2 linked regions of the Rhinolophus ferrumequinum genome follow. Each later gene encodes a partner of the first gene's protein in a complex. Links are inferred from orthologs where the notes say so. Each region holds a gene or a part of one and is shown in the gene's direction. Other genes may lie near its edges. The genes, in order: MUS81 and EME2.

The links.
Region 2: the proteins of MUS81 (region 1) and EME2 are in contact, whole or in part, in a crystal structure (PDB 7F6L), measured with the Homo sapiens proteins. The link is inferred for Rhinolophus ferrumequinum from reciprocal best matches to the Homo sapiens genes MUS81 and EME2. Residues at the interface, in NP_079404.3 of Homo sapiens: His330, Glu351, Phe354, Lys357, Arg358, Arg363, Val365, Glu381, Leu385, Gln386, Thr389, Asn390, Gln392, Val393, Ile394, Phe398, Lys400, Arg401, Tyr411, Leu414, Leu415, Arg417, Gly418, Leu419, Arg421, Leu422, Pro447, Ile464, Lys467, Ala468; in NP_001244299.1 of Homo sapiens: Glu140, Arg177, His179, Glu220, Glu221, Val224, Leu225, Gln227, Leu228, Trp229, Asn231, Leu232, Asp233, Leu235, Arg245, His246, Ala249, Val250, Lys252, Ala253, Leu254, Gln256, Tyr257, Lys260, Gln261, Glu264, Gln266, Phe268, Phe270, Cys271.

The regions. Positions count from the first base shown.
Region 1 is NC_046294.1:5,965,314-5,973,860, reverse strand, and holds the start of MUS81 (crossover junction endonuclease MUS81), read left to right. Parts: upstream 1-5,055; 5' UTR 5,056-5,699; coding exon 5,700-5,834; intron 5,835-5,927; coding exon 5,928-6,057; intron 6,058-6,298; coding exon 6,299-6,381; intron 6,382-6,924; coding exon 6,925-7,023; intron 7,024-7,137; coding exon 7,138-7,206; intron 7,207-7,368; coding exon 7,369-7,454; intron 7,455-8,018; coding exon 8,019-8,159; intron 8,160-8,357; coding exon 8,358-8,453; intron 8,454-8,539; coding exon 8,540-8,547. UniProt on the Homo sapiens protein: Catalytic subunit of two functionally distinct, structure-specific, heterodimeric DNA endonucleases MUS81-EME1 and MUS81-EME2 that are involved in the maintenance of genome stability.
Region 2 is NW_022680357.1:3,538,133-3,546,104, forward strand, and holds the start of EME2 (probable crossover junction endonuclease EME2), read left to right. Parts: upstream 1-4,570; 5' UTR 4,571-4,587; coding exon 4,588-4,825; intron 4,826-5,163; coding exon 5,164-5,300; intron 5,301-5,734; coding exon 5,735-5,827; exon of another isoform or gene 5,828-5,897; intron 5,898-6,548; coding exon 6,549-6,640; intron 6,641-6,831; exon of another isoform or gene 6,832-6,841; coding exon 6,842-6,935; intron 6,936-7,077; exon of another isoform or gene 7,078-7,103; coding exon 7,104-7,219; intron 7,220-7,384; coding exon 7,385-7,574; intron 7,575-7,661; coding exon 7,662-7,832; 3' UTR 7,833-7,972. Other genes in the region: MAPK8IP3 (C-Jun-amino-terminal kinase-interacting protein 3), read left to right, coding at 50-171; MRPS34 (28S ribosomal protein S34, mitochondrial), read right to left, coding at 3,595-3,887, 3,973-4,015, 4,172-4,492. UniProt on the Homo sapiens protein: Non-catalytic subunit of the structure-specific, heterodimeric DNA endonuclease MUS81-EME2 which is involved in the maintenance of genome stability. In the complex, EME2 is required for DNA cleavage, participating in DNA recognition and bending.

The DNA.
Region 1 (8,547 bases):
GGGGGAACTTGGTCTTCTTCAACCCAAGAATAATCAGAAGATCAAAAGCGGTTGGGGAAGGCCAGAACCGTCAGGGGTGGAGGGAAGAGGAAGGTCCAGGGGGTGGGGGGCTGTTTGGCAACTGGGTGAAGGGATTGCCCTCCCCCTGCTGGGATCCCCCCAGCCCCTCCGGTCTGGCAGGAAGGGGGCAGCCTGCAACCCCCATGGGCAGGTCTGGGGCTGCCAGATGCTCCGGGCAGGGGGCTGGAGGGGGCTCACAAAGGCTTGCCCTCCAGGGAGATGACAGCACTGCCCCCCAGCTTCTCTGCCAGGGTGCAGCGGTCCTTGACCTCCTCGTAGCAGTTTGCTTGTAATTCATGCTTGATCCCTGTGGGGAAAAGGGGGGAGCGTATGTGAGCAGGAAGCAGTAGGGTGGCTGGGGGTAGTTTATGGCTGGGAAGGAGCCAGTCGGAACAGATGGAAAGGACATGGTTACATTCCAAACAGGCAGGGACAAGGAGGGGGAGGAACCTCCTCTGCCATCCCAGTCACCCTACCCTGCAGCCAAGGCCTGGGCAGAAAGAAGAGCATGTGGCACTACCAATGCTGGTCCTTACCCGTCAGCTTCTTCTTGATGGCGTCCTTGGAGCTGGCATAGATCATTTTGCTCTTAAGGGGTGCAGACTCAGGAGCCCTGGATGGAAATAAGAGACATAGAAACTTGCAGCAAAGTCTCCTCCAAGTCTAGCAAATGCCCTCAAGCAACAGATGACTTCCAGAGAAACACTTGAGCTGGCCCCTAGCGTTCAAACTTTTATCAAGTTCCTCATTGACAAGTTTTGTTACAACACCGCCCCCCCCCAAAAAAAAACCCACACTTCTGGTTAATTAGGAGGCAGAGTTCCCATCCTGAGAAAGGGCGGTGAGACAGAGCCAGTACAGGTGACAAAATAAGTGCCCGCAGGAGGAGCTCACCAGAAGATAAACACCAGGTCCTCCTTCTTGCTCTCCTTGGTCTCATAGGTTGCATCATAGAGGGCGTAGCGACAGTCCTTGTCCGGCAGCATCTTGACAAAGGTGGCGTAGGGGTCGTCTACAGTCTGGCCCACATCACCTACCAGGATCTCCTTGCCCTCCTCCAGGATGATGTTCTTCTTGTCCTCACTCAGGCAGAAGAGCACGGCCTTCTTGCGCTTCTTCACCTCCTCTGGTGTCGACGACTTACGCACCTTCATGTCATTGAACACTTTGATGACTCCATCAGAGACAGCCACACCAGAGGCCTGGGGGACGAGCCACACACACCTCATAAAAAAAAGACTTCCTGGGACTCCCCCTGAAGTCCCTCCTTTGCTTTCTTAGGAGACCTGTCTGGATGCCAACCAACATACTACACAGTCCTCAGCCCCAAGAGGTCATGAAAACCTTTTCCAAAGTAAGTGTCCCTCTTTTCCTACTCAAGCCACTGTCAAAAAATCAGATGGGACACAACTCCAAAATAGCAGCCACAGACGAGACCGCTGATCACCTCATTCAGCATCATTTCTCCCCACCCCAACATCTTGCAGGCTAGAAATTGAAGACCTGTGAGAAACAGAACCATGATTGAGACATGAGCCCAGAATTAGAAGAATCCACAGGCAACTGACTCGTTTCCTACTCACATTACACAATCTCAGCTTTTGGATAAAACTGCTGACTCAGAACCTCGGTGAAGAAAACCTAGACACCGAAATCATAGCCATCTCTTCTGGAAAGAGAGAACCAGGCCCATACAATGCTAGATGTAACACCAAAGGTGCTCAACAGTTGAAGCAAATTCATCAGAGTCGCTCAGTGCAATTATTACACAAACTATCCATTTTTCTGCTGGGGTCTTCCTCAACCGAAAAATTACAACCCCTCATTAAGGCCTTACCCGACAACTCCCTATTTTCTGGGCAAAATGCAGGCCCAAAAAGCTGACAGAAGTCCACAGCGCAAACTCAAGTGCCCACAGTCCTTGAGGGCCCTTTAAACTTCTATTTTGGGTCGTATCGGGGGACACCCTAGCCCGGAAAAGCAGCGACTGTCCACGATGAAATCTGCGGAGCACCCCCCTCCCGGAACTGCAGAGGAAGCCGGCCACGTGACTCAGCCGCTTCCGGAGTAGGCGGGGAAAGGAGCTAGGCTAGGCTCGGCCCCTCCCCGAGAGAGAAACCCCTACCCAGAGGCAGTAGCAACTCCAGGGCCTCAGCCTGAAAGAATCGCTTTTACAAGCCGGCGTATCAGCCGGAGCCTGGGCAAGTTACACAACGTTCGGTTCTCGGAGCCTTCGGGCCGAACACGGGCGGGGTGGTTTCCGGGCGGTGCCCGCCTGGGTCACTTCCCTAAACTTGACTCCACCCTCAAGCCCCATCCGGGAAAGCCGAGGGCCCCGCTTGTCCAAGGCTTCGGGCCCAGCGCCCAGGCCCGAGCGTGTGCGCACGCGCCTGCCGAAAGCGCCGTTCCAGCCTTTGCCCGATGTACAGAGCGGAGAACCCAGCTCGCTTTGTGGGCGAGCTCGCTCCGGAGCAGGGCCGTGGCCTCTGCTGTGTCCGATCCGTGCCGCGCGGTGCAAGCCCCTAATCCCAGGCGCCCACTCCCGGACCCTGACGCCCGCGCATCCCCGCCGCCCCCGCCCCTCCCAGGCGCAGGCATCCTTGCCACCTGCTCTCGAGACAGACCAGCCTGCCGAGGGAGGATGACGCGGAGACAGGAACAGCACTTGGGTGGGGCGCGCGCGCCAAGACTGCTCGCGCGCTTTTCCTTCGCCGCCCCCGGGCCAGGTTTGGATACCGCGTGCTCCCGTCGAGCGCGCGTTCCCGTGAACCGACTCACTTCACCGCCGCTGCGGCGCGCGACACCACCCGATCTGCGAGGGGCGGGCGCGCGCCTCGGACCCCTCCCCCACGGCTAGTGTCGGCGCGGGCGTACCAGAGGTGGGGGAGGGGAAGGGAGACCAGGGGGCGCGCGTGCGACGTCCCAGCTAGCCATCCCTGGCGCCCGCGGGCGCGCACGCGCGTCCCGGGGCCGCCCGCCCCTCAGCACGAGACCCTCATCCCGCCCTGGGTGCTGGGGGAGGGGTGCCGACGTCGTTTCCCCGTTCCCTCCCACACGCGAGACGACCAACTCGCAGCCGCCTCCCTCAAGCACCGGGGCCTGGTGCTCACCATGTTTCCGGAAGCAAAAAGGCGACAGCAAGCAGAGCCAGAAAAGATGAGAGCCTCTGCAGCTGCTGCCGGGATCCGACTGAACGCGGCCTCTCCCGGCCCCTTCCGTTTAGTATGAGCCGCACAATGAGGGGCGGGGCGGGCTTCCGGCGCTCCCACTGCGGGCCGACGGGAAATGAAGTCCAAAGGTCCTGCGCCGTCCTCGAGCTCGCTGGAGGCGAGCCCGTCTTCCCAGCGCTACATTGCATACCGGGAAATGTAGTCCGAGACAGCTGAGAGGGGCGGGGCTATGGCACAGAGAGCGCACCCATTGGTCGAATTTCCCAGGAAACGCTAAGCGCTGTGAAAGGCGCTAGGTAACATGACCCGAAAATGAGCCCCGACTTCGCGGCTCTTCACCCCGTTGTGAAACGGTTTCCTTAAGATCCATCTTAGCACTTTCTGGATCCCGTGGTCTGAAAACTTTGAGTGAATCAGTATTTTGCTTTTCTGAAGCGAAGCAACTATTTACTGGCCCGGAATCCAGTCCTTGAGCAAGGAGAATCGCAAGTATAAGGTGCCTTCAATCCAGTAAACATTGAGCAACTCCATGGCAAAGCCACGCTTGTCTCCTGAGAAAAGGCCATATGAAACTTCAATAAAATAAGAGAAAAAAATACGGGAAAGGTTACAAGGAACTCTTTGAAAATAGATGTGTCGTTTTAAACGTTTGGCAAATTCACAACGCACTAAAAGGAGAAGGGCAGGGGTTTGTGCATTCAACTCAAGGATTATGTGCCTTTTACTACAGAGCGAAAAGAAATAGATACTAAATCAAACTTGAATCTTGTTCTCGAGTTGAGAACCAGGCATATAGTTAATTTGGGGGTTAATTTAATACCCCCAAAAACTGAGACATAGTTTTACAAAAACAAACTGGGGTTGGGGGGCTCGGGAAGATTTCGTTGGCTTCAAACAATGACATGGCCTCACTGCGCAGGCAGAGAAGAAAGGGTCTCAAACAAGGGAATTAGGGCCATTGATCCTACAAGCGTAATAAAGGGTGTAAACGAGCTGAAAGCCCGTTCTTCACTGGTCGGGGAGCGACTCCCTGGAGTGGGGTACCTCGCAGAGCATGCCGGGGGTTGTAGTCGGGGACGTCCCGCCGCGCTCTGCCTACCAACCGAGCTACGGGGAGCCCCAGGTGAAGGCCACAGCTCGACCGCTGCCTACCCCTAGAGACCCTGTCAGAAGAGAAAACTGGCTCCATCTTTATCGAGCCTCAGAGTTGCCAAGAGCAACGAGAAGGGGGAGGGGGACATCGCAGTTACCCAGGAGACGTGCTCCCTCCCGCCCCTAGCCGCGGGATGCCCTAGATGTCCTTATTAGGACAAGAGACTAGAGGGGGCGGGACCAACCCTAACGATGGCTGGAGGCTCCTTATAAGGCAGCGTCGGACAGGAGGCGGGAGTTCGGAGTAGGCTGGGCGGAGTCTGGAGGGGCGGGCCTGTTGCTCCCACGGCCGCCAGTACGCTCGTAGGCTCCAGCCTAGCACCTCGCGTCTTCTGGTATGACGGCTAGGGGTTGCTTCAACTCCCAAGCGAGATCTTTGTGCCCAATTCCTCCATACGTGTCCCTCAACCTGGGACCTTTTTTGCATATATATACCATCTCAATCCTCTCTGAGGGTCCCCCATCTCCAATAAATCACTAAACCGGCGAAATGTTCACCCCTTTCACCCTCGTCGGGGCTTCTTACCTCCAGCTTGCTCCCCCAAATCCAACCACGTATCCATCTCAGCCACCCCTTTTACCTGCCAGGATACCCAACACTTCCTGCTTTTCCCTCTTCTTCTCCTCTGTTCCCCTCCCTCCGTCCTACTAACTTTGGCCTTCCCTGAAAATTCCTGACTTCGCTCCCCACTGCCCTGTGTCGTCCCTCCCAGCTCGGGATCATCTTTTCCTCGGAGGGGCCTTCAGCTCCTTCCGCGTTACCTTTGTGTGCTCATATCCTGTACTTTCTAGATACCTCTCCTGCAAATACACCTGCACCCATTTGTCTCCCATCCCCCACCTCTCAGCCTTTTCACAAGCCCAGTCTCTCCAGACTCCTCCGTCAAGGTTAGCTGAAAATGACAGCCTCAGATTACTTAGTTAAGCACCGCCCCAGCCAGCCCTCCCAGCCACAAGGGGGTGCAGTCCGCCTTTCTCTTGCCTTCACAAAGAAGACCGCTCTAGATTCTGGGGTGGGAGGAAGGGGCGGGTCAAGGCTCGGGGGCCTGGGTGGGGTGTGTCCCAAAGGCTGGTCCTGGCCGGGAGGAGCGAGGGGGCGAAAGACCATAGAAACGGTACTCGGCACCAACCACTCAGAGTAGTGGAGGGGCGGGGAGGGCAGCAGGAGGTTATCCTCTAGTTAGTGCCCCTCGTCGGACCACGTGATTGAAGAAGTCCCGCCTTCACCCTCCTGAGCCAGGTGTTCGAATCCTGTTTCCAGAACTGGGCGTCTCAGTACCGCCGGCGTGAGGCGCCAAAGGCCTAGTCCTGGGGCTCATGGCGGCGCCGGTGCGTCTGGGCCGGAAACGTCCGCTGCCGGTTTGCCCCAACCCGCTCTTTGTACGCTGGCTGACCGAGTGGCGGGACGAGGCAGCCAGCAGGGGGCGCCGCACACAATTCGTGTTTCAGAAGGTGGGTGCCAGCCCGACCTTATGAGGACAGGTGCTGGCGGAGCCAAACGACCAGGCCAGCCCTGACCCGGTACGGTACCCCCTACCCCGCCAGGCGCTGCGCTCTCTCCGGCGTTATCCACTGCCCCTGCGCAGCGGTAAAGAAGCTAAGATCCTGCTGCATTTCGGAGACGGGCTCTGCCGGATGCTGGACCAGCGGCTGCAGCAGCACCAGTCATCTGGTGGTGAGCTCTGGGGGCAGGGGTCGGGGTTCCCTGAGTCTCCCTGAGGTGCAGCCTCCGTAACCACGTGGGATACCTTAGCTTCAAGCTCCACTCTCCTGTCCAAGTTGCTGTTTGACCCAGGGCTCGGTGCTGGCTCTCGTAGAGCCTCACCGCTCTCACCTACCACACGAGCTGGCAGCGTCCCAGATCCTCCCGCCTGCTGGATTCCATGGGGTCCAGGGTTGACTCTCTTCTCCCGCAGGTGACCATGCCCCAGCTTCATCTGGAGCAAAGAGTCCAGCCCAGGAAGGACCACCTGCTGAAGTCCAGGACTCTTCCATGCCAGTGAGGATGGGGCAAGAGGAGTGGAAGGGATTGTGGGGGCACCAGGAGTAAGATTTTCTGGCTTGGGGGACTAGCAGGCCTGGGTCCACATCTCCCCACCAGTGATACCTGGCCTTGGGCAAATGACTCATTCTCCCTCATAGCTAGTTTTCTCATTTGTAGATGGGTATGCCTGTGTTGATTGGTGAGAGAGTCAGTTCTGTGATCAAGTTATTTAGGGGGCCAAGCCCAGTAAGTTGTGGGGGTTGATATTACTGAGTTTTCTTGTCTTACCACCTCTGTCCTGCAGTGGATGGTAGAACTGAGACTGGAGCGGGCCGATTACACCATCCCACAAGTCTCCACTGTCTCATCCCAAACTTGCAGGCGATCATCCCATCATCTGTCCTGTTTAACAAATCTGGGAACTGAGAGGCAGCTGAGTGACTTGCCCAAGGCCATGCGGCCTACAGAGATAGAACCTGAACCTCAGCCCTGTCAGGGATTCAGTCTACAACGGCTGGCTGGCTGATTTTCATATTCAAAGTCCTTTGTATCTTTAAGGTTCTGGCCCAACCCAAAGCGGGAGGCTCTGGCAGCTACTGGCCAGCTCGGCACTCAGGAGCACGAGCAGTACTGCTGCTGCTCTATAGGGAACATCTGGTGAGTACCTAGCTATACTGAGTCAGGGAACCAAGGCAGTGGGGCGTGAGGCTCTGGGAAGGGATTGGCCCAGGCACGGAATCTGCCTTGGTTATATTTCTGCCTTGGTTACAGAATCCTAGTGGCCACAGCTTCCTAACCAAGGAGGAGCTGCTGCAGAGGTGTACCCAGGAGGCTCCCGGGGTGAGCACTGAGGTGGGGATGGTTGGGACCAAGTGGCTCTGGATCTGACCTTGAGCCCACCAGAGGCTGCCCTTCTCAGGAGCTAGCAGTGGCATGGGACCCAGGGAGCTGGACACATGGTGGCACCAGGTGCTCTCTAACAATCACCTCACCTATGGACAGGTAGCCCCTGGGAGTGCTCGATCCTGGCCAGCCCTCCGCTCCCTGATCCACAGGAACCTGGTCTTCAGGACACAACAACCGGCCAGGTGGGGCCAACTACAGGGGATGCAGGAGGCAGGGAGGGGGAACATGCATGATGGTCTGAGTGGGGTCTGCAGTCACCCAGCAATTCCCAGGCCTCATGCTGTTGAGGTTGGGGGAAAGGGGAGGCCTTATCCCCAGGACCCCACAATGTTGGAATACTGGGAGGGTGTGAGAGACTGAGCAGTGAGGGCGAAGAGGAAGAGGTGCGACAGATTATCAGCGGAGCGGAAGAGCTTTGCTGGGGACATGGCATTTGACACATTTTAGAATTCAGAGGGTAGAGATGCAGGAAAAGCACTGCAGGGAGGAGGGAACAGTATGAGCAAAGTTGGGAGGAAGGAAAGTGTCTGAGACGTATTGCAGACCTGAGGGATGGCCCTGGCCATCCAGAGGGCAGTGATTAAAGGAGCAAGAACACAGCCTGGGGGGTGATGGTGGAAGCCACTGGACTTAATTGTGCAGGGTCACCAAGAGGGTGTGAGGCCTGCCTAGCTGGGGGCAGGCAGGAGAGCCTGCCAGATATGAGCAAAGAAGGGAGATCTGTGTTCGTGTCTTCTACCTACTAGGTACTCACTGACCCTGCAGGGTCTGGAGCTGGCCCAGAAGCTGGCCGAGTCAGAGGGCCTGAGCTTGCTGAATATGGGTATCGAACCAGAGGAGCCCCCTGGGGACGAGCCAGAAGTGCCAAGATCATTCTCCGCTGAGCTGTGAGGAGGGGAGAGAGGGAAAGGGGGGATGGAGAGAAAAGGGGAGCACGGGGTCCCAGAAACGAGGCCAATACCCCACCTCCGTCTCCATCACCTACAGCTGAGCTGTGGCTGTCTCACTTCCACTGGGTTTGGAGGGAAACTGCCCTGGCAGTGGGGTTCTGGCCTCACACACACCAACGCCCCCCCCCCTTGTAGTGGTGCCAGTGAAGGCAGTGTCCAGCAGCCACAGCTGGAGCTGAGGCCTGGAGAGTACAGGGTGCTGTTGTGTGTGGATGTTGGCGAGACCAAGGGGTGAGTGAGGTAGGGGGAAGTGAAGGAGAGGATGCTGGCGTGGCACTGGCCTGCCCTGACCTAAGCCTCCTGCCTTGCGATTCCAGGGCGGGGC
Region 2 (7,972 bases), on another chromosome or scaffold:
TCCCAGGGCACAGCAGGGGCCGCCCCTCACAGCCAGCTGCTCTCCCCAGGTGACGGAGAAGATGACGAGTCGGAAGAGAGCGCGGGGGACATGAGCCAGGTGAAGCCCATACTGTCCAAGGCTGAGCGCAGCCACATCATTGTGTGGCAGGTTTCCTACTCCCCCGAGTGAGGCGTGGCCTCCACCGCCCCTGCCTGATGCCACCGTGTACATACACCCCGCCCCACCCACCTGCCACGGGCTGCCCCCTGCTGTCAGCCCCTTTCTAATCTCTCAACCTGCAGCTTTCACCTTAGGTCCAGCCCAGGGGCCGGCAGGGGGCGGAGAGCTGCAAAGTGGGTCTGGCTGGGAGGAGGGGGGCGTGGGTGGGAGGGAAGAACCTCTGGGACACCCTTTTCCCAGCAGCTCCTGGCTGGCCCCCAGCCCAGTCCCAGGGCACTGCAGGGCCAGAATGAGGCAGAGTCCTGGGGTGGGCTGGGCCGGGACAGACCCAAGGTGGCTCCCAGCTGCACCCTGGGCTCCCCGCTCCCATCACTCACTCCCTGGATCCCCAGGGCAGGAAACAGGGACTTCACCTCCAGGTCTCCCCACCTGAGTCCACTTGCCTTTGCCTGCTGTACGCAGGGGTAGGGGGTCCTTAGGGAGCTGGCCCGGCCACTAGACCTTGCCCCCATCCCTGCCACCCCGGGCACTGGCATGAAAGCACGTAACCAGACTCCATGGGGCAGCTGTTTGAGAAGACAAACAGATGCCCTCATCCCGTTCAAACCCTGATCCTCCTGTTTGGCAGGCTCTCACCGGCTCTCACTGACCCATGTCCCCTCCCCCCTTCCTGGGCAGAAGACCCACCTTGTAGGAGCATACCCTGGAGTCCTGCCCCTCCTGGAAGCCCCTAGGGTGAATTTCTCAGGCTGCCAGGGCAGGCCCAAGCCTCAGGAAGAAAGGGGGGCCCTGGCCTCTCCTGGGGTCAGTCCTAGGATGCAGGCATAGCCTCAGGGTGATGGGGAAGGTGAGCTCCTGGGCCTGCCTGCCAAGCAGTCTCCAAGGAGCCCAGCTCCCAAGACACACTACTAAGTGCCTTGGGCTGGTGGTGTGGCCTGCTCCCTTGAGGGCAACCGACAGGCTAACAACAGAGGCCCGAAGGGCTAAGGATAAGGGCCACCTCCCCCAGCTCTTAGGAGTGTGCGCCCGCCAACTTTGAAGGGCATCGCCCTGGACTGCTGCCTCCCCACCTGCCCAGGCTTTAGTCCTGCTCCAAAAGGCACTGATCAGGGCAGCCTCGTGCCCTGCCGTCCACCCACCTCCCACCAGAGAAGCACAGATCTCGGGCAGCCACCCCACAGCCCAGCCAGACACCACTGCAGTCACATGCCGCTGCAGGCTTCTCCCCACCGCCCTGCCACTGTCCACTGTGATGTCCGTCAAGTCCTTTGTCTGTTCCCACGGGGCCATGAATGACTCGGGGGTTATCTGGGGTGGGTGCAGCTGGGAGAAGGGGCTGGGTGACAATTCTCCTCAGGCTTTGGCCCTGCAAGCAAACCCGTGTATCTGCTCTGTATGTAATAAATGTCTTAACATGGTACCCCAAACCAACATGAGTGAGTACAAGGGTTTTCTTCAGTTTATTAGAAAAAGAAATGCTGGAGCAAGCTCAGTGCCAGGGTTGGTGCCCTGGTACATTTCCAGGCATTTTCCAAACAGTCGCATGCCGGGCTGGGCAGACCCACCTGCCCTGTGGGAGGTCCTGAAGGGATCCTGTGATACCTGTCACAGAAGGGGTGTTCTGAGCACCACCTCCGGGGCCTGGAGGGTGCCAAGTGAGCCACAACCTATTGCAGCACGTCTGCCCTAGAGGCCCCGGGCACCCGGCCTTGGGTCCTCTGGCCTTGGGTCCTCTGCCGCTGCAGGAGGCCGGGTCCCCGCGGCTCCACTACTCATACAGCCAATGCTCCGTGCTGTCCTCCCAGCACATGAGCTCCTCGGGGCGGAACCAGAGCGCTATCTCACGGCGGGCGTTCTCCACAGAATCGCTGCCATGAATCACGTTCCTGCGTGGGAGAGGCGTGTGTCAGCGCGGGCAGGAGTCCCACGCAGCCCAGTGAGGGGAGCTGCGACGCGCGCTAAGAACGTCCCGAGGGCCGGGGGCCGGCCTTACTTGCCGACCTCGATACAGAAATCCCCGCGGATGGTGCCGGGAGGCGCGTCCGCAGGATCCGTGGCTCCGATGAGAGCCCGCGAGATGCGCACGACGTTCAAACCCTGCCACACCTGCGGACGGGGACGGCGACGCGGGGTCAGCGCGCGGTCGGGGCGGGGTCAGCGCGCCGCCCGCCCTCCGGCACTCACCATGGCCACCACCGGCCCGGAGCCCATGTACTTGACCAGGCGGCCGTAGAAAGGGCGCTCGCGCAGCTCGGCGTAGTGTTCGCGCAACAGCTCCTCGGAGGCCTGCGGAGGGAGGGGGCCGGCTCGCGAGCTCCAGGGCCCCGCCCCCTCCCGTCCCGCCGGGTCCCCCCCCGCGCCCACGCCACCCCCGCGCCCCCCCGCCGCCGCCCCTACCAGCACCAGCTTCAGCGCCACCAGCTTGAAGCCCTTCCTCTCTAAGCGCCGCACGATCTCTCCCACGAGCCGCCGCTGCACGCCGTCGGGCTTCACCGCCAGAAAGGTGCGCTCGTGCACGCCGGAGCAGGCTGCGGGACCCGCGGGACCGCGCGCGTCAGGCCCGCCCGCAGCCCCACCCCACCTGGCCCGGCCCGGCTCAACCCCCGGCCCCGGCCGCGCCGCTCACCCGCGGGGAAGAGGTTGGCGAAGATGGTCAGCACCAAACAGATCATGATGGCGACGGCGACTGAAGCGGAGCGCAGACTGGAGGGGGCGGGGCTTGTGTTTAAAGGGGCCGCAGCCCGAATCCCCTCGTTCCCGGCCCCCTGGCGCGGCTGCCTCCGTGGGTGCGGCGAGGGTGGGGGCTGACGGAACGCGGACTATGCGGTGAGGCCGTGCCTTGTCCACGCTCACCCCAGAATCTCTGCGGCCACGGGGCCCCCAGACCTTTCTGCGACGGCTGCATCTGTACCCCTTCCCCCCAATCCGCTCAGGTGTTCCCATCCACCGAGCCAGATTCACCGCGATGTCAGCTTTTTTCACCCCACTCTCCAGGAGACAACCAGCCATGGTCCCCCAAACTCGAAGGTACTACAAACCAGCGTTACTTCAGTTGACTTTATTCGCGTTCACAGCTTCTATCTGGGTCCCAGCTGAGGCAACCCGTTATGAGGAAGGGGAGCCAGCCTGGAAATGACAGGTGCCAGCGCGGGGGCTCCACACCCACTAGCCCTGCTCTTTCAGCTTTCCCCCAGCAGCAGCCGCCTCCAGTGTGGCCCCCTCCGTCAGATCTGGGTGTTGGGGCGACAGGAACAGAGGGAAGACACAGGTGCAGGGTCTAACGCCACCCCTTTCTACTCTCTGTTCAGTACAGAGCCTCAGAACAAGTGGACGTCAGATCCGAGCTCTCAGGTGTAACCCAAAGACATTTTGTTTCATCTAAATGGTGCCCAACGCCTTGCACCCTTCGGTCGGCCTGCGGGCTCTGACATTTTAGACTGGAGTGCCTTTGGCCTTTCTCTTTGCCTCTTGTTTCCGAGGGTAGTCCCAGGGATCAATGCGTGTTCTCTCCAGATTCAGCATGGGCTCCTCGGTGCTAGTGTCCCCATTTTTCTGTCGCTCTGCTAGGATCATAGCCCGGAGTAGCGGCGGGTAGGGCACAGAGCGCACAGTGTCCTCGGACACCGGCCTGAACGCGGTGAAGGCCTCCTCCTCGTGCTTGGGCACCAGCCGCCAGTCATGGTACATGACCTGTTCGATCTCCCGGGCTTCGCTCTCCGTCTTTCCTGGGGAAAGAAGGACGTGGTTTATTGCGCACTCGCGCAACGGTCTGTTGCCAGCAGCCACCCAACCCGGTCTCCGACGCCTTACCTTTGAAGGTCAGGATGCCCCAGGCCTTGCCGTGGTCCAAGTTCTGCAAAAACAAATGGGGAGGGAATCAGCTCAGAAAGCTTTCTTGTCCCCAGAGATCAGGACGCAGGAGACCCCCTGTCCCACAACGTCGCGCACAGGGGCGGCAGTGCTGCTTCGCCGAGCTCGGAAGTGGGGAGGTGGGGACCGGCGCACTCACCTGAGCCGTGTAGTCCGGTCGGACACGTGTGAGGCGCCAGTAGCACGGTTCGTCGTGCTGCCACAGCCAGGACTTGCGCGTGACCAGGCGGCCCAGACCGAAGAACGGGAGGCGGCCGAGCAGCTGCAGGAGGCGGCTCTCGCTGCGCACGTCGGCCCAGGCCCGCGCAGGCAGCCGACGTTCCGAGTACGGCCGAGTCAGCGTCTCATAGTCCAGGGAGTAGCGCTGCGAGTCGCGCGGCCGCTCCCGCTGCTCCCGCAGGGCCCGCACGCGGCGGGCCAGCTCGGCGATCAGCCGGGGCCGCACCTTCTTCCGCGCCATGGTTGGCTCCCGCCGCCGCCGCCGCCGGAAGAGGCCGGTGTTCCCTGGAAAGGCGGCCGGGCGCGGCCGGAAGCGGAGAGGAGGCCGGGCGGGCCATGGCGAGGGCTGGGCCCGGCGGGGCTGGAGGCTCGCGCCGCGGCCGCGGCCAGCGGCGGGCCCCGACCTGGGAGATCTCAGACTCGGACACCGAAGGCCCCGCCGGCGCGGAAGCCAATTCGGAGGCTGTCGCCAGGGCGCGGGACCCGGCAGAGGAGCGCAGGGCGGCCGCCCAGGCTCTGCGGCTGCTGCGGCCGGAGCAGGCGGTGCGGCGCCTAGTGGTGCAGGTGGACCCAGGTGCGCCCTGGGCCAGGGCCAGGGCAAGGGGCCTAGAAGAAGCTGCACTTCTGCTGGAGCTCGGGCTTTGGAAGCTCCCCTTAATTACTGGGAGGTGGTTCTCGGCCCACTGCGGGGTGAGAGGGGCATCTGTCAAGGCCGCCTCTTGGCCAGGAATTGGCGCAGGCTTCCCAACTGGGGAGATTGTTTGAAAAACAGACTCTGGGATCTGGGCCCGATCTGCGCTCTTGGAGCGGATGGTGAATCGATGTGTTTGTAACACGCCGCCCAGGCTATGGGTGAGGAGCGTCCTCCCGTGGGGGGAAAGGAGTGACAGCTGTCTCTCTGGCCCACCCCAGCCATCCTAGAAGATGCTGGCGCTGACATCCTGTTGGAAGCCTTGAGCTCCCTGGGCTGTGAGTACCGCATCGAGCCCCAGCGCCCCGCTCGGAGCCTCAGGTGGAGCAGAGTGAAGCCGGAACCCTGCCCCAGCAGTGTGAGTGCCCCGGCTTCCTTGCCACCAGCAGCTTCATTTCCTGGGTTTCTGTAGTGCGGCCCTGAGTTCGGTATTTCACCTCCATGATTTCATGAGGTAGCTGCTGTAATCGGGCACATAAACTAAGAATGGGGGATGCTGAATGGGGTGATGCCCAAACTATGGTGCCGGTGCAGGGCTGGGTCCAGGGTCTGCACTCAGCTGGTGCGAGGAATGTTCCACCCCCACTGAGGCTGTGCTCAGGGCTCCTGCCGGCCCCGGAGACCAGGGCTGGTCTTGGCCTCAGCAGGAGACCACATTGGATTCTGTAGAGCAGCCCTGGCTGGCATGGATTTGGCTGTGGCCATGAGCCTCAGAGCTGTGTGGTGCCCAGACCAAGGCCCTGGGTCATTCAAGGCCGAGGGTGGGCAGCAGTGCTCCTGGTGTCCCCACAGGTGCCTCCTGAGGTGTGGGCTGCTGGGGAGCAGGACCTCCTGCTGCTGCTGGAGCCTGATGAGTTTCTGCAGGGCGTCCTCCAGCTCACACAGGTGCTCGGTGGGGGGTTGGGTTCCTAGCCTGGATGCGCTGCTCTGCCAGTGCTGCTCAAAGGCAGAGGGGCTGGAGAGGGCATGCAGTGGGCAGGGGCTCTTCTCTGGTCAGCAGCTCAGATGTGTGGGTGAGATGGGGGAAGCCACCTGGGCTCGGCCTGGGAGCAGACGGGAGCTGCAGCTGCTTATAGGGGGCAGAAGCCAGGATAAAGCGGGCCCTCTGCAGAGCTCAGTCAGAAGCCAGAGGTGGGAAATTGGTGAGAGGGGGCCTGGGACTGGGGCTGTGGGTTGGCTGTGCAGGCCACCTATGCCAGCCAAGAGCCCAGCCCCCGCCTGGCTGGAGGAACAATAGAGACTGCTCAGCGGATGTTTGTGCCAGCCTGTCGTCAGGTTAGACCCTCTGTCTGCCCCAGGGTCTGAGGTTCCGCATTTATCTGCTACCAGGCAAGTGCCCAGCTGGGGTGCAGAGGTGGACCAAGAATGGGGAGGGAGACTCTTCTAGGAGACTGGGACAGGCCTGGGGTCCCCTTGACCTCAGGGGAAGCACACAGCTGGTTTTCTAGAGAACTGGCTGAGCAGAGGAAGCCCACTTCGGTCTCATTTCAGCACCACTGGGCCTTCCTGGCTCCCCTTCATTCTGCAAACTGGCAGTGGCCTGGTGGCTCATGGGCCCTACCTGCCGCATCCCAGAGAAACAGGTGTGGTAAACCTTGGCTTGCAGGTCTGTGGCCCAACCAGCTCGGTGCCCTGGATCTTTCCTGAGAGCCCCGCCTGCCCCCACCTGGCTGTCATCGGGCTGGATGCCTACCTATGGTACTGGCCACCCTCATACCCTTAGCAGGCCTGGCTGGGATGAGGCAGTTCAGGGAAAAGGTTGGGGTAGCTCGGGGGCTCCTGTGCTCCTCCTTTGGGGGGCTAAGCTCCTCCTTTGGGCGGGCTCTAGGGGAAGCAGAACTCAAGGAGGGTGGGACCTATGGGGTGTGGGGAGCTGAAGGGATAGTCACCTCTGCTTAGGTCTCGCCAGCCCAACACCCGGGAGATGCAGCCGCCGGAGAATCCAGGGATGGCCCGTGCCATGATGGCAGTCGGCTGGCCCGAGGTGGAGGAGGTAAGGACATGTCAGGTTGGGGGAGGTGGTTGGCCTTGGCCCTGGCTCTCAGGCTGCCGAGGCCCAGCCACTGGGTGTGGTCCCAGGGTGGCAGGTGGGGTTGTTCTTAGCTGGGTGTCCCCCAGGGGAGCCCTCCTCTTACCCACTCCCACGGGCTTGCCTCCTCAGGCCCTGGTGCTCCTGCAGCTCTGGGCAAACCTGGACGTGCTGCTGGTGGCCTCCTGGCAGGAGCTGAGTCAGCATGTGTGTGCCTTCACCAAGGCCCTCGCCCAGCACCCCTTCAAGTGCGTGGCCCCCACCCCAGCTAGGAGGGTGACAGGAACGCTTGGAGGGGTGGTACCTCCCAGCCTCTGTGACGCAGAGGGCTGAGGGGCTTTGTTGAGCTGGGGGACTGGGTGGTCAGGAGAGAGGGAGCCTCCAGAAACCTCTCTGCACCTTGCTGTCCTTAGGCAGTTCCAGGAGCACCAGGCCGTTTCCTTCCGCACAGCTGCGTGCTGGGTGGCAGGCGCACGAGTGACAAGAGATGGCACAGGGCTGCGGGGCGCCTGGTGGCGGCAGATCAGGCAGTTCAACCGGGTCAGCCCGGCCATGGCCGATGCTGTTGTCACCGCCTTCCCCTCTCCACGCCTTCTGCAGCAGGTGGGCCCCCTCCCGCCACCTCCACCCCCTCAGGTACGATGGTCAGGTCCCCGAGGCCTGCTCTGCTCATCCCTGTGCCTGCCCTAGGCGTACGTGGCCTGCGGCACAGAGCAGGAGCGCCTGGCTCTGCTGGCTGACCTCCCTGTGAAGGCGGACAAGGGCAAGAGGCCCCGAAGGCTGGGCCCTGACCTTTCCCGCCGCATCTGCCTCTTCCTGACCGCCACCGACCCTGACCTCCTGCTGGACCTTAGCTCCTGACCAGGCCTGCCAGACCTACTGGGCCTTCTCCCGCCACCCAGCAGGACAGCAGGCCGTCCAGCAAGGGAGTGACCGGAAACCACGAGGGGTAGGAGGAGGAGAGCAGTCACCCAGCACTACCTGCCACTCTGCCTGGAAGG